4 linked regions of the Drosophila melanogaster genome follow. Changing the gene in region 4 together with the main gene of any one other region gives a genetic interaction. Each region holds a gene or a part of one and is shown on either strand. Other genes may lie near its edges.

Region 1 (3,505 bases), on a different chromosome or scaffold from region 4:
TGCAAAAGAGAAGGATTTACCACTTATATTTCAAATCGTAAGCCTGTGAAAATAAAGGATGCATTTGGCAGTGTTGAATATGGACGGTTAAAAGGTCCAAGCGCATTTTTAGCTAGTTTGTTAATTAGGCAATACTACCATGTACTCTCTTTATCATTATATCTTATTTTTTATCAATAAAATTTTTCAGCTTCTGATTTTAAAACAGCTACACGATACCCAAAGTTAAAGAAATCTATTGCAGTGTAAGAAAGTCTGCTTACCAATCAAAATATCCGTTTTTTTTCTTTTCTGATTTGTATACTGCCAGCTAAAATATCGCCATTCTACGATCTATCGAAGGTTATGAAAATTCCGTTATACTACAAACTCAACCGCTCGCTACGAAATGTATCGAAGCACTGATTTTCTCAAGTGGCCATATTGAATGTCAACCTAAATTTCTGCCTGCCTCGGCATTTTTTTTTTCCATTTATGTAGCAATTGAAACGAGATCCCACCATGACGATACTGACTCTTTAATATAATAAATTTAATCGTTCTGTTTTCTTAATATCTACAAGTCTTTCGAAAAGATGTGATGTGATGATGAGATAAGATGGAATTACTTCTTGGGTGTCTTTTTCTTTCCGCTAGTGGTGCTGGCTTCTTTCTTTCCCTGGTAGAGGCCCGTATAATAGCCGGACATGTACCAGGCGGTGAGCATGGCCACGAAGTCCTGTTCGGCGCCGTCCCCTTGTCCGACAATCATGGGCGGTACTGGTGGCATGGGCGGCATAACCAGTCCGCCAGAGATCCTACTCCTTCTGGATGACTTGGGAGTCTTTGAATGACTACCAGCGGATGCCTTAGGGCGGCTCAACTGCTCGTCCTCATCCTTCTTGGCGATAAGGAACTGCTCGCGACGCACACGCTTGCCCCAGGACGGCAGGAGGTCCACGAGCAACACCTCCTGCTCGTTCTCATAGCCCAAATAGCGGAGTACGCAGGTGCCCTTCTCCTCGTTAATAGACACCACAGCGCCCTCGTAGTCCACACCATCCACGTAGGTGGCCCTGGCGTAGTCGCCTACTTTGAAGGATACTGGTTCCGGGCTGGTAGCCCCACCAGTGGCCGAGATCTCGCCAGCTTCTTCTTCAGCTGCGGCAGCGTTCTCCTCCTCGCGCTTGTTGGTGGAATCGGCGAGGCGGCGGGCCAAAGCTTCGCGGGCCAGTCCCACCGACTCGTCGTACGTCTTCACCAGCAAGGAGTCATCCCACACCGCGGCGTTCGTCTCGTCGGACATCTCGGCTTTCTATCCTATCAGGCAAGTATCACGTTTTTAAAGGAAGAACCAAGTTTCGCTTTTATGCGAATTTGCTGTGTGTTGGAAAGCGCAGGCGAATCACCGCTTAGCAGCACAGGCCGAAACATGAAACTATCGCTAAAAGGTGTACATTCAAACTAAGATGTGATAAAATTTATGAAGTCATTCTGGGTATTATATTATTCTGAAAGCGAACGAAATGGTTAAGAAATATTTAAATTCAGTAAAGCTGAAAAAAGTTTTCATACTTTGTGGCCAACATTCACAATGCAATCAGAATACTTCCAATGTAATTGTATTGTATTTATTGTTTTAATTGAAGTCTTCTTTTTATACTTTCCACTAAAAATACTTTATTGTGAGTGGTGTTGTACCTATCGTCCCCATTAACCGCACGATAGTATCGATACTTATCAGCATGCATCTTTAACACAATAAACAAACAATAAATTGATCGATCCGACCTGAAAGCGAGATCGCTAAATTTTTTAACTCAATTTCGGAGGTATGGAGTTGGGGTTGGTGTGCCGAATTTGCCTCGGGCAATGTGAAAACGAGTTCAATATTTTTGAAGTTAAGCACGGCACTGAAGCTTCAATAGCGTCAATCATTTCCGAGTGCACTGGCCTCAAAGTGGAAAAAGGCGATCATCTACCCGAAACATTTTGCACCTCCTGCTGCCAAGATGCACAAAATGCGTTCGAGTTTAGAAAAACCCACCAGAGGAGCTAATAATTTTACGTTTAGTTAATGGAGGAATCCCGATTCCGCAAGGTATCTTATTCCGAGGATGGGGAATCGAGTATCGATGGAGGTGCTTTTCAGCATTTTGTCGAACTCGAAAGTGTAGTTGAAGATTGGCGAGGCAGTGGCATGATCCAATGGGAATGTTGTCTAGTGTAGAACGAGCCTCTTTAAAGACGATGATCAGTTCGTGGACTGTGACAGCGATCAATCCAATAGCCAAGTCAATATTGAGGTAATAGACGAAGACTATGATAGTTGTGAAAACCATAGATTGCAAAATAAAGGACGTGATAATGATAAGCTGCTTCAATGTCCTCATTGCCCAACGAGGTTTTGGATAAACTCAGCACTTAAGCAGCACTTGCTGCTTAGCAGCAAAGGCTTTGAAGAGCGTATCGCATCTTTCGGGACATATTGCAATACACACTGAAAAACGGTGCCCCCATTGTACATCGAATTTTACGCTGGCTTCCAATCTTAAAAGGCATCTAATAATCAACACAGGCGAACGCCCCTTCAAGTGCTCCCAATGTCCTAAGGCGTTTTACCCAGAATGCGCATCTTCGAATTCACATGATGAGCCACACAGGAGAGCGACCGTTCCCATGCACCAAGTGCTCCAAAAGCTATTTCACGAACACGCAACTGCGGTACCATCTAAAGACCCACAAAGAATGAGAGTTCTGAATCGCTTAATAATTTAAGTTATTCTTGACACAAAACTTATGCCCAAGGTCAAATAGACGTGATTTCAATACCCGAAATTTTTAACTATACTGAGACAATCACTAATTGAATAAACAGTCCGAGCTTAAATGCGAAAATTTAGATTTAAACTCCATTAGATAGTTTGTTAAAATATATCGATATTAAAGCACAAAGGAAATACAATACCCCTTGGATCAAATCATAAAGCTTTCAGTTGTAAACTGTTAAACTATATAGAGTTCGTCTAAAAAATGTATTTTTCAACTTAAACTTACACTTAAATAATATTCCCAGCCCTGTGGTAACTTGACAATCGATAACTGTTCCGATAACGATTGTCCTATCGCTTTACCCTACAACAATTGCCATCTCTAAAAAAAAGCGAAAATCATCTTGGGAATTTGCAGAAAACATTTAAGCTTCAATATACCAATCTAAAGAATGGCCAACGTGGAATCGCTGTACAAAGAACTGACCGCCGAGTGGTCAAAGCGGCCACCAAACACCGTCAAATGCGGCCAGCTGCTGGATCAACTGAAAGTAGCGCTCGTGAAGATGGCCTTCCTGCCGACGGACGGAAACGATGCCCAGAGCTCCAAGAAGCAATTGATCCTGGCTAGGAGCGTGCTTGAGGTGGCCGTGGAGCATAGCGTGCTCAGCAAGGACCTGCTCGCCTTCGAGCGCTACATGGCGCAGCTGAAGTGCTATTACTATGACTACGCTAAGATCATTGGCGAATCGGAG
Region 2 (4,577 bases), 5.1 Mb from region 4:
TCGTAGTAGTACACACCCGGAGCGGCGTCCGCGAAAACAAAATGGCGACCGCGTCAATCGACTTTTTCGCCAAATGTTCTTTTCTATGCTAGCGTTATGGCTTACCTTTTGATGTTGGCTGTGCTCTTAATACTGGTAATATTTCTATTTTGCTGCTTTCGGCGTAGTAAATTTTATACAATGAACAAACGCTTGTGACAAACTACAGTTTCCGAGATCAATAGAAAACCGTACAAAAGTCTATGTTAGAGTTGACAGTGATACGATGACAGCACATTCATCGATGGTTTGATATTTGGACGTGTCTCAGATTTCTATCGACTAGACATCGCCGATATTCGAAAATGCTCTTCGAATTATCGAAATGTAGGCATACTGCAATTTACGCGCGCAACGCAAAAATTCAAATAATAGAATATTTGGCTCAACAAGACAGGAGACTTTAGATGGAAAAATAGAATCCACAAAAGCAAAACTATGGAATAACTAAAACCACTTTTCATAAATAGTACACACAATCGATTTATTTCGTTTCTTTTTGTATGGCAAAAATTAATACAAAAAATTAAATATTAAATGTATGTATGTATGTATAAAAAGCTTAAAGCAAACTATATAATGTAAATTTAATTGGCTGTTTGTTTTCTCTCCGATTGATCTGTCAGTATGGTAAGTAGAAAGAAAGGCAAATCTCAAGAACTCATACGGATTATAATTTCATCATCGTAGCACCACAGATATGTGTTTAACCGAACATAAATCTAGTTTGGGGCTAGCGAATTTACTCGTTTGTGCGAAAGTTGCTGTGAGCTTATCGGCTTTTGCTTGTTTGTTCTCTAATGATGAATACTAATGGAATTCTGCTCGTGCGTGTGTGCGAAAAAAGATTACATTTATGTATGACTGTCGGGTTGAAACCAATAGATAACAGGGCTGTAAAAATACACAATATTTGTTTACATCGCGTTTCGGTTTTAAGCACGGAGTATCTGTTGAAGTACAAACAACATAGAATCAAGTTAAGTGCTGGTTGAAAACAAACGGATATAGCAGCTGAACCAAGGCAGTTACAACAGTATTCATAGTTTTTATGTAGAGGTACATATTCATTTTCATTTTCGATTTGCTTCGTTCGTTTTTGTTTGCTTGTTATTGTTAATACTCTTAAAAGGGCGCCTCGCAGCCTTTCAAACGACACAAAACACACACATTCACAAAATCATTTCGACGTACATAAAACTCTAGTTACTTAAATTAATTACAATTTCTCTTCTTTTATCTGACAATTGCACCGACCAACACGCTCCCACATGTGTGTGTTTTTCGCATTGTGTGTCCAAAATGGACAAACCATCGAGCCCAGGACGATCGGCGATTCGCCGACGCACATACAGACAAACAGGCGACATTTGAAGAAATAAAAAGTGAATAATAACCAATGCGTGGCCGTTTAGAGCATTTTACATTTAAATCTACGATTCGGCTTGTTCATTTTGCGGCCCCTCCGCCCCTTGTTGTCCTTGTCCTTGCGGATTTCGCGCACCAGTGTGTAAAATGCATCGTCCACGCCCATGCGCGTCTTGGCGGATGTCTCAATGTATGGAATGCCGTACTGTTTGGCCACCTGAGAACAACCATAATTAACGGAATGTTCGCTCGGAACTCTGAAGGCCGGTACTCACCTCTCTTGCCTGCTCGTTGTTAACGTTCCACGAGGCCAGATCACATTTGTTGCCCACCAGCACCATGGGCACCTCTTCGGCATCCTTTACGCGCTTGATCTGCTCACGGTAGGTGCCGATATCCTCGAAGGACTTCGCACTGTTGACGGCAAAGACCAGCAGGAATCCCTCGCCAGTCCGCATATACTGATCCCGCATGGCCGAGTACTCCTCTTGGCCGGCGGTGTCCAGGATGTCCAGCAGGCAGGTCTCTCCATCTGCAGGGGAATATAAAATGCATTTGAATATCGCAACTTCTTAAGGTCTCTTCTAGTATAAACGGGAAACCAAACCAGCGAAAGGGTGCAGAAATCTCTAGAGTATTTGGACCTGTGCAGCCCTAGCTTTGCCAGATCTAAGTACATATAACTCACCGATAACCACTTGCTTTCGGTAAGAGTCCTCGATTGTGGGGTCGTACTCGTCCACGAAATGGTTCTGGATTAGCTGGATGGTGAGCGCGGACTTGCCCACGCCTCCGGCTCCAACGACGACCAGTTTGTATTCCGTCATTTGGCTGTGGCGTCCGTTTTCGATTTGCCGTAGTCAAATGTCACAGTAACAGTCTCTTTCTCGCGATCGATGCTTACTCTCTTGTGAAGCGCCCGCAGATGCAGTCTCTCTCTCCGTACGCTTGTTGCGTGTGTTTGTGTGGGTGACTGTGCGTGTATGGGCTGCAAGTGGAGTAAATTATTAATTAAGATTGATTAAAATAAATTAAACGCATAATTAGGCAGGAATTAATGCACGTCACTGAGTCACTGTGACTAGGCGCTTACTCGCACAAACACACACGCACCACTGCATGCACACAGCCAGACGGGCAACACAAAAAAAAATGGGAAAAAGAGATCAATGACTCAAACTAAAATTAAAACCCATTCGCTCAATGCAAATTAGTTAGTCTCCCCCATAGCCGAGTTGTTAACTAGGTGAATTTGCTAATTCGGCGGCGTTGTTTTTAGCCCTTTTCTTTATTATTTTTCTTTTGCCTGCCGGGGCTGCGGACCTTCTTTGTTGCTGCCTCTTCAGCTAGCTCCTCCTTGTTTTTCCGCTCCGCTCCTCTCTATCAATACTCTGCCTCTCTCTTCTCGCGCGCGGCGCAGTTGCTGGGCACGTTTCACGTCACTTTCGCGGCTAACGGTGCGACAGGCGGTACTCCTCGATGGCACCAATTTAATTGCCGTGCGGTAATTGCAATTAACAGCGCAGGAAAACAATAAATCCGTATGTGAAATGAAGATGAAATCTAGGCTGTACGTAGCTGTGAAGATACTAGAGCTGGCACCAAGCCGATGGCACTATCGATAGCGATGGCTGCATTCTGGCCGGCACCATCGATGGACTTGCAATAGCGATTGCTATATGAAAACTAATCTAAAGAGGTGGATGCACTTCAGTCGACTCTCTATAATTTGCTTAAACTAATAAATGATTTGATCAATACAGCTTTCTGTAAAAACTGGCAGACGCTTTCTGCTTTTAATAATTGTTAATTTAAGTTCAACGGGCTGGCATCACCGTTTCTTAGCACGGACTCAAGCCTGAGTCTATTATTTCAACCACCACTGTAACGAAAACAGCATGGACAGATTGAAATTCAATAATTTGGTAAATAAACGATTTTATTTAAAATTATAGAGTTTTAATTAAAAAGAACTTTTACAGGTGATATCCAACAAGAAGGTCATTCAAAAGGCACGCGCCCAGACCATCGCCAAAATCGTACAAAAGCTGCGAAAGACAAAAGAGGCTCTGGCCAAAAATCCAGACAGTGAAAAGGAAAAGATTCGTTTACGCAAGAACACAGAATGCCTGGCCCAGTTGAAGGCTCTAAAATATATGGATATGGTACGCCAGTCGCTCCTGCAGGAGGGCACAAATCCCAATGCGGTGATTGCTAACGAGCGCTCCACGCCGGATGAACTGGGCATTGCCATGCTGCGGCTAAACAAATTGATGCACGGACTGGTGGACAAGTTTGTGGAAACCTTGAAGCTGAGCACCACCGATAAGGAGGCCAAGTGGCGTGAGGAGATCCTAGAGACGAGCAAGCGAAGGGCCAAAATAGAACGCACTGAGGAGCGGAAGAGGAAGCGCAAGGAGCTGAAGGAGCAGAAGGCCCAAACCAAAAACCGACTGGAGTGGTTAGAGCAGAACAAAGTGGTGGATGCAGATGTTAATGGAGCAACTGCGGAAACGCCCACTCTTCAAGTCAGCAAAGTAAATGATCAGGAAATACCACAGTCTTTTGCAAAAACTGAAAATTCTCCAGTTCTCAAAGTCAAAAAGGAAAAGACACCTAAAACACCAGCCAAAAAAGAAAGAAACCTTCAGAAAAAACAAGCTTTTGATGAGCAGATCAACCCGGAGATAACTAAGCTCAGTTCCAAAAAGCAGAATTTAAATACAATCAAGGAGAATAATGCAGAGCCACAACTAGAAGGCAGACCGAAAGAATCTAAGCCAAAACCCTTCGAGAAAAAACCAGCCAGAGAGCAGAAGCCTAAGCCACGATTAGAAAGGCAGCCAAGTATCGATGAAGAAGAACCACAACTTGACAATAATCGTCCCACACATGTCGTTGATCCCTTCTTCATTACGGAATCAGGCCAGCCCTACTTGTCCAGCGCCGTGGTTCTTTCCGGGGACAATGACAGCGAAGCTGATGAGGAACAGGCACCGCCGCCAGTCAAAAGGTTCCGCAATGAGGATCGACGGTCGAACACATATCGGGAGAAACCGGAAAGACAGCCAGAGTTCAAAGCGAGAAAGCCAACTGATGATCGTCATCCCTCCTGGCTGGCTAAGCAACAGCAGAAACCAATCATTGGTGATTTTAGAGGCAAGAAGATT
Region 3 (7,936 bases), on a different chromosome or scaffold from region 4:
CAAAGGCGCCCTCACCCAAAATGGAGCCCAAGCTAAGCTGCTGCCTGGGAATCTCCCAGTTTGAGTCCAGCGGGAACTCATACTCATTAAAGCCCTGGGCGGGATCAGTACCGCCAGTTCCCGTTGTGGAAACGGTTGTTCTCTGCTTCTCGATCCTTATCACTGGCATCTGAAGATCGCCGGAGCTGCAGCCACTTCCTTCTTCTCCACCCGGTCGGTATATGATCACCTTTTTAGTCCACTGATGAACCGTTTCGATGCGGAGCTTCAGGAGCTTCTCCCTCCTCAGCCGACGCAGCATGAACGTTATGAAAGCACTGCCCAAAAGGAACAAAGCCACTATCGTAATAGCGGCCAAGGTGAATCCGAGAGGATGGGCGTGCAGCAGGGCGTAGATCTCCAAAGGTGGCAGAGGACTCACTACCCTAAGGTACACACTGGAGTTACTCCTTCCCAGACCACTTGAGGCCAAACAGGTGTACCAGCCCTCCTGGTCAAAGGTCACATTACGAAGCGTTAAAACTACGGAGTCATTCGTCACGGTGAAGTTGAGATTCTGGATTTCCACAGACTTAAGGCCGTCCAAGGAGGCATTCTTGAGGACAACCCTTTTCCAGCTGACTGTTGGATGCAGATCAGAGTAGACGGTGCACTTCATCACCAAGCTGCCATTGACTTTCACCGTCTGATTTTGCGGCACCACGATTATTGGTGCGGATCTCGTGCGATCGTTTATTTGGACACTGAAGTCAAACTGGATGCAGCCCCACGCATTGCACACCTTACAGTTGTATAGTCCAGAATCCTCGCTGGTGGCCTCCACGAAGCGGAGTGTCCAGTTCTTTTGCACATAGACGCCGAGTTCACGGTTTAGCGGCTTCTTGTCCTTCGTCCAGGTGATGTTCGCTTTGCCGTACACTGGACAGGCTAGATTGACAGTATTTCCCGATAATGAGTGCTGTAATCGTTTCAGCTCTTTTCTGAACACAGGTGGACCAACGCCGCCTGATGCTTCCGCTGCTGGATTTTCCACGTCGTCATCGTTGTCCTCTCCGGTGGATGCAGTGGGTATTGGGCTGGCCACGGTGGTAGTAGTGGTCGTGCGAACTGTGGTAGTATCTGAGGGACTGTAAAGATCCACATAGGAGGCGGCCACAGTGCGTCCAACCTGGTTCTCGGCTATGCATATGTACCATCCGCCATCCTCCATCAGGACATTTCCAAGACGAAGTACCTGCGGTTCATCCATTCGGGTAATCAATCGGGTAACATCCACAGGTAGCTGGGACTGCTCTCTTAAACGCTGCAAGAGGTCATCGATGTTGTCCGCATTCCCCTTATGTAGCCACGTGATCTTCGGCTCCAGGGCAGAGTCCTCAAGTAGGCATTCAATGCTCACATTGTCCCCGAGGGCAATGCTGGTATTGCGGGGATATCCGGGCTTTAGCATGGGCACCGTGTGCTTTCTGCTTATCACCTCCAATTGGGTCGGATTACTCCTTTGGCAGTCCTGTTCCACGCACAGCTCACAGTGATAGCTTCCAGCATCCTCCGGCTGCAGTTGCCCCACTGTTAATGACCACCTTTTAAGCTTAATGCGTCCACGTCCACCAAGGATTTGAGTATCATTGTGCAGCCAGGATATATTAACACCCTTTGCATCCGGATCCATGGGACTGCAGTTCAACTGAAAAAGGCCACCTGCGGTCCGTTGTACGGTTTTGGGTAGGGGTTGCAGCAACTTCAGGGATCGACTCTCATTCAGGGGCTGAAAAAAGAGATCTGACTCCGGGAGGGCCGGTGCATCTTCCAACTTGACAAAGCTGGCGATATCATTGCCAACTGGTTCCTTATGGCCAACAACAAGGGAAATATTGTACCATCTGTTCTGACTATCCAGGCAGCCGTAGTTTCCAGAATTTCCGGACTGTGCTCGTTCAAGTCGCAAAAGGGTAGCCCTCAGTTGAAACTTATCCTCATAGAACCATTTGGCCATGGGTCGGACGCACTGCAGCGTGATGTCCATGTCGGAGAGCAGATGGCGCTGGCGGGGACTGTTTTCCACAGTCACATCGATGTAGCAACGATGATGGCCATAATCGCATCCCAGGTCCGCAGCGGCAGAGACGATCGCAATGATCATCACCAGCGTGATCGGCACTTTTGCCATGATTCAAGTGGATTCTCTTGAGTTCAACAGCCACCAAGATCTCGTATCTGGATGGGCACGATCGTGTACATATGGGTTACAGTTGCGGTCGAAATAATATCACTTCCTGTGGGTATCTTCATTCGAGTTCCTCGATTTCAAATCGAGCGTTCTCCAGCTAAAGGAAAGGATTAAATATATGAATTACATGGCATTGATTGATATATTATACTTTAAAAATAACACTTTGGAATTTTGTTTAATTTAACTAAATTTAAGAAGTTATGAATGCAAATATTATTAGCTATTCGTTACTTGAATACCACTATTGTGCCACTATTCTTTTGACCGCAGCTGTATAAGTGGATCAATAAATATTGCCAAATCTCCGCTTCACTTTTTGCCCCTCCCTTAGTTCCCGATCTGTGTCATTTTATTTATTTATTATTATTGTTTAATATTTTATTGCCAACACGGCACACAGCCAAGTCAAGTCTGTCCGCACCGATATGCAAAAATCCAAAGGAGAAGCAACTGAAACAAACGAAAACTGTGTGCCCTGCCTTCGTAATGAGCTGGAAGACGTGGTCGAAGCCACCGAATTGCCGGACACACTCGTCGCCACCCACTACCGAAGGGGATCTCCATTATAACTTGTCTATATTCGACGTTCGCCAAATGCTTTTGTTGCTGCGGCCTGCGCTCCTCGATTTCCATTCAACTAAATGCCGAACAGTTAGAAAATCACTTAGCTATTTGTTGAAATCAGTTGTTACAGTGGTGTCACACTTTTCAGTTATTCCCCAAGTACTATACTTGCACTTACAAAACAAACAGACAAGGTGCTAGAGAATTGCAACAACAAATCGAGAAATACCTAAATGATTTGCCACAATCTGAAATAGCAACTAATTAACATTCAAATTCTCTGTGCAATATGAGCTCAGCATTTTAATCAATTAAAAGGTATATTTATAATAAAGTTATGCTTTAAACACTGAATAACACTGCTCGAAAATCCTAATAGCAGATAATTATTTCAAAATTAATTTTTAGTATAATCACGTAAAGGGTATAGGACAGTGGGTATTCCATCTACTTGGGTTCGTCAAATGTTTGCCAAATAAAAATAAACAATTTTTAGTTCAATGATTAATGATGATAGGGTAAATTCCCAAACTTGTTGTCTGCGAATGTAAGCTTTGTACAAAATGTAAAGTTTTAAACGAAGTTTAGAAAATATTGATAATAATGGGGGCATAGCATAGTTCGACTATTTTTTCTATCAGAAAATTAAAATATTTTTAACTTTTATAAAATCGTTTTGACCACTGTGCTGTTTAATGAAAAGTATTTTATTGTTTGTAAGGCTTGGGACAACCGTTGCGATTGTCATTGTTGTTGTTAATATGGTGCTAGTGCTGCCAGTAATTGTTGTTGTTGTTTTAGCCGATATTGCCGCTAGCCGCTAGCCGTTTGACTTCAGGCCCGATTTATGTATGTATGCACACGCGTCGCAGGTTTTAATTTATTCAATTCCTTTTTTTCTCATTTGTTGCCAAATACGAGTCGATCGCTGTATTTGAAGTATGTATTATTGCTATTTTTATTTAATTTTTTTCTCAGTTTGTCATTCATTCAATATTATTCGATTCGATTTTAAGCCACAAGCGCACATGGCCAAAACCGTTTAGCTCACACCTTTTTATCTTGTGAATTATTATCGAGCGTATAAATCTAATGCATGAACGATTTGATATTTCAACTTGGTCAATCAGCTATATCGAGAATAGAATAAGTTCTTTATTTGGAACCCTGGGTATTAACTCCCCATTCAGTTTTCTTTCTGCAAACATTGACTTAATGTAAAAGGAATGTTTGGATCAAGACATAAATTATTCATTCATACAATTGACATCACTTTAATTTTATTTTCTTATTTATTTCATTGGTGTTTATTTAATTATGTATGAATCAGTTTTATCACGTTTCTTTGTCTCAATTAAAATTTTATTTTTAACATTTGGTTACTTTGCAGACTTTTTGTTTTTATTTATCTGTGGTTTATGATCTTTTGGCTGCACTTGGAAAGATTTGTATTTATTTTACTGCTGGAACAATTCACTCTTAAATTATTTTTTGCTTTATTTTGGTTTCACTGCTGCTTGTCAGTTCGCAGTGGGAACACAATTCTTTTCTGCCATGCCACAACCCCAAATCTTTGACCAAAAAAATCACGTTCTTTGTCTTTTATTTTCGAGGAGCCGGAGAAGGCAAATAAGATTGCAAAAAACATTGTCACTATGTTTATTCGGCTGTCAATCGCGGTTGGGGCTTGTATAAAAATCTTAAGACTCGGCAAGAGGGCAGCGGAAGGCGCCTTGCATTTCCGCTTCGTTGCCAACTTTTATTTCCCTTTACCAGGCATAAATGAAAAGAAATATGTGATGGGTAGCTGGTGTTGGGCGGGGGGGGGGGGGGGGGGTTCACTTCCGTTGCACTAACCGTAATCCGTAAAGTTTGTGGAAGGAGCCAACCGATTGGCTTGAATGTGCGCAAACAACTGAAAGTAACGATCGAAACGGAAGAAACTTTTACGCGGTACGATACGAACGATCCGAACGTGCCGATCGAACCGAACCGATCCAATACGATCCAATACGATACGAAACGAGTGGATATCTGTGGTTCCCTGCGATAATGTTTGCTAGGATCCTGGGCACAGGGTCTTCGGATGGGATGGTATGGGTTCGGACGGCTACCTGATCGAGGTGGTCTCCCTCCCGCATGTTGCAATTGTTTTCGCTGGTAGTTTTCCTGAGCGGTTTCCTTTCTTTTTATTGCTGGTTTGCTGCTGCTGCTTCTGCTAGGTTCTTGTTGGTTTTATTCTAAGCATGTTTGCGGTGGCTTCGACTCGTTGAAATTCTTTATTATCTGGCCTTCGGGTTCCCTCCCTGTTTGTTTGCTTGGCGGCTTAATTTATGCAAAAGAAAATGTGTCCATTGTCTTAGTGGTGTGCAGTACGTGCGCATGCGCGGTAATCGCATATCAATAAGGAAATATCCGTTACGTGACTGATATCCAAAAATCTCAGTTGCTGCATGTGGCATGGCAGCAGCTAGCTCCCGCATAGGCCAAAATCCAGATCCAGATGCCGGGCACGTAATCTACCCAAAAATAGTTAAATGCATTTTTGATGCACTTGTTAGGGGCTATGGGAACAAATGCGAAACAGTTGGGAAATACGAAAAGGAGGGACATACTATCCAAACTAGCTATCAAAAACTTGTTATAGCTAAACACAATTTCCGGTGAATTAATAACCAAACTCACCTGATGTCTTCATTTGTTAAGGAGCCACCCCTTAACAGCACTCATGTTTACCGAGGTCAGAATGCGAAAAGATATTAGTTCTTAAATTTGAACATCTCTTTCTCTTTTTTATACATGTATGTACATTATAATTAAAATATAATATTCTTTCAATTTAACACTCCGGAGTGGTATATGGATTTATACGAAGTAATCATAAAAGAAATTTGGTTTTTATTTTTCAACAAGAAAAATTATGAAATATGTACTACCTAAGACTTGCGTCTTCCAACAAAATGTTCCATTTTCCAGATGTACAAATATGCAAAAAACAATTTAAAATAATAATAATGCTAAGCTTATAAGTCTTTGTCTTTAAGCCAAGGTCGCACGCTTGGCTACAAACTCCCTAGAAGTCTTCTCCTTGTTGGTAAAGCGAGCATACCTACCAAGAGATAATTAAAAAGGTAAGAAGAACAGAAGAACAAAGAAGACATTGTTACGTACGTTCTGTGATATTTGGCCACATCGGAGGCGCTGAGCGAAGGACGAGTGGTTTGGAACGACTCAATCAGGTGCTTCTGCTTCAAGGAAATTTTCTTTGCCAGTTTCTGGGAAAGCAATAAGAAACAAATGGTATTTTATACTGTGGCCAGAGACTAAGAACTACGTGACTAATCATTGTTGCAGGAAGTAGCATAGATTTCACTTTTGATTTAAAAGACAAACACGTAAAGGAGTTTTTACATAGAAGTTACATTTGAAATCAGGATGAGAAACAATAAAACATGAAAGAAACGGTTGAAAGCTTGCATGACCCATAAAGCAGATTGTTTCCGGTGAAAATAATTCCCAGCTCACCTCGTGTCCGAATTGAGCTAGCGCCTCCTTAACCGCCGCCATGTTCGCCGAGGTCAGGATGCTCTGGATATCGGCGCCAGTGTAGTTTGCAGTTTTTCCCGCAAACCAATCGAAGTCCACGCACTCATCAAGGCTCAGTGTTGAACTGAGTGCTTCAAATATACGTACTCTGGCCGGAGCATCCGGCAAAGGACACTCCACCAAGCGATCAATGCGACCGGATCGAAGAAGCGCGGGATCTAGCAGTTCCGGTCTGGAGGTAGCTGCTATCACGGTAACTCCCTGCAGTCCTTCAACGCCATCCAGTTCTGTGAGCAACTGATTTACCACTCGATCGGTGACCCCCGTGGAATCGTGACCACGTTTCGGCGCCAAGCTGTCAAACTCGTCGAAGAAAAGCACACATGGTCGGGCACTGCGAGCTCGATTGAACAGGTTTCGAACATTTTCCTCGCTTTGACCAATATATTTGGCGAGCAACTCAGGACCCTTGACGGAAATGATGCGCAGGTTCCACGATGTGGCCAACTGAGAGACCAGATAGGTTTTACCTGTTCCTGGTGGCCCATATAGAAGTACTCCGGCCTGGTTGCGCAGTGGAGAGGCGTTAAAAATGGTTGGATACTGTAAGAAATTAATGATTTATTAAATTTTAGAAAAAAACATATATTTCGTTTAAAACTCACCCTTGATGGCCACATAAGGACCTCCTCCAGAACTCCCACAACTGACTCCAGGCCAGGCAACTCCTCGACGCGCATTTCATTGGCATCGGCATCATTGCCAGTTCTTTGATTGCTCTGAATGCCCTGCAGGCAGTACGAGTTTGTGTGCTCCAGGGACTCAATAAGCTGATCATTGGTCAGAAGAGGCTGGGTCTTGCCTGGAAAAAAGGGAATTTAACATGATAAAGTTGCTTACTAACACTACAAACTACTCACTTATGCGATAAGCATAAAATATTGCACGCTCCACGAACTGAACAAGATCACATTTCCGGTAGCCCTCCGTGAGGTTGGAGAACTTAACAAGATCCAGGTCCTTGGCCACATTGATATGGCTGCACAGCTCTCGAAGAATTATCTCTCGATCTGCTCGTTCCAAATTGGGCAGACGAGCAACAGTCTGGAAGACATGTCTTCCCCTTGGTGAGCTCAATCGCTTATTGAGGGTCTGCAACTCGTTGACGGTGGCGATTACTGCAATAGCGTTGTTGGTGGTATACTGAACAATCAACTGATACACAGTATCCGCCATGCGATTGTAGTACTCTCCATCCTGACTGGACTGCTCTCCAGCAGCGTGGGCCAGTACATCCAAGTTTTCTAGCACAACAATGGCGGGGGCATGCTGCAGGCAGCTGGTAAAAATGTTGCGAAGATCTTTTTGGATGGACTCCGTCTTGCGGCCTTTGCTTCGCGATCCGTGGAAGAACTCGAAGTGACAATAATCCGGCTTGCGTGACAGCTGGTCCAAAATGCGCTCCACAAGAACTGTTTTACCCGTTCCCGAGGCACCAGCGAGTAGGACATTGCACTGACGCATGACGGAATTGTCAGCACTGAGGCATAGATTCATTCGCAATTCCTGAACTACCTGATCCACAATCTTATC
Region 4 (4,797 bases):
CGAATTGCCTAGTTTCCTGCATATGGCGAAAGATTCGAATGGATTGCAAGTGACCATAGCGATAAGTGTGTCGAATATGGTGGGTGATCATTTTTAGAATAAGGCGCTGTGGGCAACCGTTATTATAATTGATAACAATAACAATAAGGGAAAGAATCTATTGTTTTTATAATAGTAAAAACTTTAATGGCACACTTCTAATAAATTGCGGCACTTCTAAAGCAGATCTACATGCTCTGAATTTCTATGTATGAAACACTCCTCAGTATCTCATCTACTACTTATTTCTCATCTCTTTTGAGACTCGAAAATCGCGCTGGATTTAAACGTCACACGAAGTGCCTTAAATCAACTTAAATCATCAGATGTCATGAAAGCGAAACCTTGAAAACGCTTATGATGAATACACAATGATCGTGCAAAGGAGTCCTGAGCGACTCATAAACCATAAACCTGTGACTTTTGCTGGACATACGAGTAAACCAGGAGGCCTTTCCATCTTGCATGCAACTGCCCACTTTAGGGGCATCCATCACACGGAGGACTGTCAATGTCAGGCCAGTCGCGAAATGTCAGTCAGCCAGGAAGGCGCGTTGCCAACAATCAGCTATATATACGCTCGATCGGCTATATGCGATCCCCTCATTACGCCACAAAATCGAAGGCAAACAGAAGCTCCACTCCACTGCCGGGGAAAAACAATGCCAAAACAAAGATTGGCGACGCTCTGGCGACAAAATACTATTACAATTATCACTTGCGTAAACATTGCAATGTTGTTAACGTGGTTTAAATGTGAGGGCGAACTGAAAGGGGCTGGGTAGTGGACCCAATTCCATGGCGCCTGCCAGGCGAAAAATGAAAAAACAAATTCCGAAGAGCTGGCAGTTGCGCTTAATATGCAAACGTGATGCAAAGCTGCGAGGTAAAGGTTGTTGGGCAGCCACTGGAGGAGTCAACAGGGGGGAAAACCCCAGAAGGGAGGACTTTTGGGGCATGAAAATGGAGTAGCAGGCAAAGGGGAGTGAACGCCTGACAGCCGCCAAAGTGCAAAAATGCGAACGCGAAACGAGGGCAGGGAATGCAATTTGCAACCACTTTGTCTTTGTCACTGCGTCGGCTGAACTTGTGGGGCATATTAAAATAACTAAAAGTATATTAGACTCGAGTAAATTAAATAACACAGCAATAAGCAGATATTTAAAAAATAGCTCTCAAAGAAAATTAAAAATTTGTGAGCCAAAATTTATTCCTTTAGGGACATAACAGCCATATCCTATAATCCATATACGTTTGCTGTCAACTATCGACTTTTCTATTATCTGAAAACTTTGCTAAACGATTTCCATTTACATGGATTACTTCTACTTATTGAGCCCAGATTAGCATAGGAATTCGCGATTGCCCCGTGGCATACTGAGCAGATGGGAAATGCAAGTGTCGTGGAACGTCAACTCACCTCTTCGTCGATGGGAACTGCCGCGGAATTTGTTTGGCGAGAGGAGCGGCGGTCGAGGCGCCATCATGCTGGGCACCTCATCCGGAGATCCCAGTCCCATTGCTCCAGAGTTCTGTTGATGTTGCTGTTGATGCTGATGTTGGGCCCAGTTTCCCAGGGAATGGCGACGAGTTCCGCCACTTGGCAGGGTGTGATGTCGATGCGATTTGCTACTGAGGATTGGTCGCAAAGATGGGGGGTGGGGGGAGAAAAGAAAGGGCGCACGATTAGCATGGGCGGAAAAGGGGGCGGTTCGAAACTGTCAACAGCTGCAATCGCATCCTGTCATCACCTCACCCTCCCCATTAAATGCTCGATTCTGGGGATTGCTCACCTTGTTGGCGATGTCAGCGGATTGAAGACCTCGTCGTGATCCCCAGCTACGGATGCACCTCCTCCTCCGGGACACTGGGAGCTGTGGGTCTCGTTGCAAGAATTCAGGCGTTCCCGGAACTCTGAGTGCGAATTTGCAGATCGCTGGCGGTACATGTTCATCGTCTGCAGTTCAATCGCGTGCTGAAATGCGCAAAACGGAAGAGGACGGCACATTAGAAGGGCTCACTCGACTCCACAGGAAGTGGCAGATCCAGCAGATAAATCAGAATCAGTATTCCGAAATCGGAGATCGGAATATGCTCTATTAAATCGCTACTCACTTGCGGATAGCCGGCGAGGGAATTGAAGCTGCCCCGCGGACTTCCTAATGCCATGGTAGCCGTGGTATCCAGATTGGCGGATGTGATCAGTCGCATCTGTTCCGGATTGGTCATCACCAGCGGCCGGGGGCTGCTGCCCTTCGAGTTGCGCCGCTTGAAGATCGAGAATCCCCGGCTGGAGGACTGCGAGTCCGGGGTGCGCGGCGACTTGGTTTCATTGCAAAAGTAATACGGGTTGTCTGGGGAGTTCAATTGCAATAGAATGAATGAGGAATGGAGTTAGTTTTCTGATTTGAACTTATCAAAGTTTGAGGATGTGCTTATAAAGTATAATAAATAACATTTATTTAATATCATATATGTACGTTTTTAATCTGTATGAATCTCTGTATCTTTGTATAATCTTTCGCTTTTGCTCATACTTTCTAACTTAAAACTTTGATATTTGTTACAATTCTTTTCGCATAAAGAAACTTATAAAGTCTTTAAGAAACTCTTTCACTCTTTTTACCTGAGAAGAAGGTGTTTGTGTTATCCACAGTGACAAACATCTTGAGATCCTTTATGCAGTGAATTTTTCCTTAGTTGATATGCGATTCGCAGAGTCTACCACAATTCAGAGCTCTGATTTGCGATGCATTTGCACTTTCACTGGCTGCGCATGCGCACGCGCCAAAAGTTGCGCACAGGGCGCGAATTCGAGAAACCGTAAACGGAAATCACAACGGGGAGTGCCACAAATGGCAACTTAACAAATTGTCAGTTTGAAAAAACGGGGCAAATAAATTCAAAATTCAAATTTAGGCGGCAATGCAAGTTCGTGATGGTTCGACTTAATATTTCACTTCAGTTCACTTGAGTTCGCGCAGTGCGTGCGTCTGCATTGACATCCCGAAACGGAATAAATTCTAAAACTTCAACGAGAACAAAACACTCCGCGCCGTCTGCATTTTCCTCTGCCACCGCCGATGTCTCTGTCGACGTCTCTGCCGACGCAGAGAATCCCTCCTCGTGTTTTGGTTTTTATTTACCATACGCGCACTTCTTCATCCATTCCCATTCTCAGCGTGCACTGATAAAAATAAATATACCGAAAAATCCCACCTTCTCATATTAATATTTTCTTTCGAATTCTCTAAGCGAAACTGTTAGGCATAATTTTCTTAATAAATTCAGATACAAAAAATTACTTGAAATAAGTACCACAAGATTTTGAACTGGATACATTAATTAAATAAAATAATAATATTTAATCGGTAAATTTGATTTCTTTATGTCTGTTTCTGTGTCTTCACTAATAAATTTGTACATCATTTTGAGAGATCAATCAATTCTCATCTCTTATTTTCTCACAGTGCAGCGACATCGGCAGCAGCATAAAAACATTGCATCTCTCCCTCGCACTCTCACCCCATCTCGCTCCCGCCCGCGCACGCACACACGCATACGGGATCAGTGTTTAAATATGGTTGCCATATTGCCATCACCCACTCGGTACTCCCCCACCCCTAGAAACCGATCGGCGATCAGGAAAACTCACTTTTCCTCGACTACAACGACTTTGTTGTTGTACCTGCGCATGTTTTTCTTTTGCGTGCGCTTTTCGCATGATCAAATTATCATCGCCAGCGCGCTCCGAGTCCATGATTTCCATGATATCCATGATTCCCTGTCCTCTGTCCCCTGTCCACTGTCCCTGTCTCCTGTCCCTTTCCCATTTTCCATCCGTGAGCGTACGTTTTGTCTTGGTCTCGTCGTGCATATTTGATGAGTTCCGATAGCAGAAATAGAAGACCCATCTAGCATATAAGCCAACTTGATGTGGCGCACATAGCATATACCATCATCATATATATTGTAGCATCTGAGGTGAGCCCCCCGGTTTAGTATTCCCCATGTTCTATCAGTGTCAAAGTTTGAGTTTGTGCGCCGAGTGTTGTCTGTGGTTGGGTTGGTCTTCAATTCGATGATGTTCACTGTCAGGAAACATTTATGAGACGTTTTTCGGGAGGGACCATGAGAACTCACCTTCGCAGAGCGGTGGGAGAATTAATCTTCCAAAATATCATGGGAAAAAATACAAAAAAAAAAAATTATACAAAGAGTTTTAGGATGTTTGATGATACAGATGCCAGAAATTCATCAAAAATATGATGATTACTTACGCTGTATATTAATATATTAGCATAAAGTAAACTCATATTTGGAGCATTTCTTCAATTGTCCTGAAGATACGCAATATTTGCCTTTCGACTTTATGGCAAATATGAAAATTGTCATCAATGTTGGGCCGAAAATAGAAGGCCATAATAGAAGCTATGGCCAGGCGACATATTCCAGCCACATTAGGGGAAACTCGAGAGCATCAAAGGCAGAAAAAAAAGAACGCGCATCGGAAAAGGCACATTAAAAATTGCAGCCAGGGGAGAGCAACAATTGTGCTAAGGGAACACATTTTCACATTTTTCCCCAGTGCAACTAGGAAAAAAAAAACTGAAACTGAAGCAACAACTGAAGTGGCAAAATGCTAGAGAGTCCATGTGGTCTGTCCGTGGAATTCCTAAGTGGACTGGGTCTAAAATCGGGCCTGCCATCGATACTGGGCCAACAACCAAATAACCCCTACCACACAGATGCCCGGCA

Evidence for each region.
Region 1: of stumps (region 4) and Smn, changing one enhances a phenotype caused by changing the other (phenotypic enhancement), as found in Drosophila melanogaster (one study listed by BioGRID).
Region 2: of stumps (region 4) and Ras85D, changing one suppresses a phenotype caused by changing the other (phenotypic suppression), as found in Drosophila melanogaster (3 studies listed by BioGRID).
Region 3: of stumps (region 4) and btl, changing one enhances a phenotype caused by changing the other (phenotypic enhancement), as found in Drosophila melanogaster (one study listed by BioGRID).

What each region holds. Positions count from the first base shown.
Region 1 is NT_037436.4:16,579,898-16,583,402, forward strand, and holds Smn (survival motor neuron), read right to left. Parts: upstream 1,651-3,505; 5' UTR 1,555-1,650; intron 1,491-1,554; 5' UTR 1,286-1,490; coding exon 605-1,285; 3' UTR 501-604; downstream 1-500. Other genes in the region: Rpn12 (regulatory particle non-ATPase 12), read left to right, coding at 3,203-3,505. UniProt on the Drosophila melanogaster protein: Core component of the survival motor neuron (SMN) complex that plays an essential role in spliceosomal small nuclear ribonucleoprotein (snRNP) assembly in the cytoplasm, is required for pre-mRNA splicing in the nucleus and acts as a chaperone that discriminates target and non-target RNAs of Sm proteins.
Region 2 is NT_033777.3:9,510,058-9,514,634, forward strand, and holds Ras85D (Ras oncogene at 85D), read right to left. Parts: upstream 3,011-4,577; 5' UTR 2,731-3,010; intron 2,396-2,730; 5' UTR 2,235-2,395; coding exon 2,096-2,234; intron 1,940-2,095; coding exon 1,683-1,939; intron 1,625-1,682; coding exon 1,451-1,624; 3' UTR 504-1,450; downstream 1-503. Other genes in the region: Rlb1, read left to right, coding at 3,306-3,332, 3,390-4,577. UniProt on the Drosophila melanogaster protein: Ras proteins bind GDP/GTP and possess intrinsic GTPase activity. Plays a role in eye development by regulating cell growth, survival of postmitotic ommatidial cells and differentiation of photoreceptor cells.
Region 3 is NT_037436.4:14,073,846-14,081,781, reverse strand, and holds the start of btl (breathless), read right to left. Parts: upstream 5,969-7,936; intron 5,907-5,968; coding exon of another isoform or gene 5,837-5,906; 5' UTR 5,734-5,836; exon of another isoform or gene 5,659-5,733; intron 4,718-5,658; exon of another isoform or gene 4,655-4,717; intron 2,328-4,654; 5' UTR 2,171-2,327; coding exon 1-2,170. Other genes in the region: Pex1 (peroxin 1), read right to left, coding at 5,837-5,906, 5,969-6,072, 6,323-6,946, 7,009-7,205, 7,264-7,936. UniProt on the Drosophila melanogaster protein: May be required for patterning of muscle precursor cells: generation of mesodermal and endodermal layers, invaginations of various types of cells, and CNS formation.
Region 4 is NT_033777.3:14,589,878-14,594,674, reverse strand, and holds the start of stumps (stumps), read right to left. Parts: upstream 3,056-4,797; 5' UTR 2,706-3,055; coding exon 2,666-2,705; intron 2,394-2,665; coding exon 2,155-2,393; intron 2,015-2,154; coding exon 1,833-2,014; intron 1,672-1,832; coding exon of another isoform or gene 1,669-1,671; coding exon 1,460-1,668; intron 1-1,459.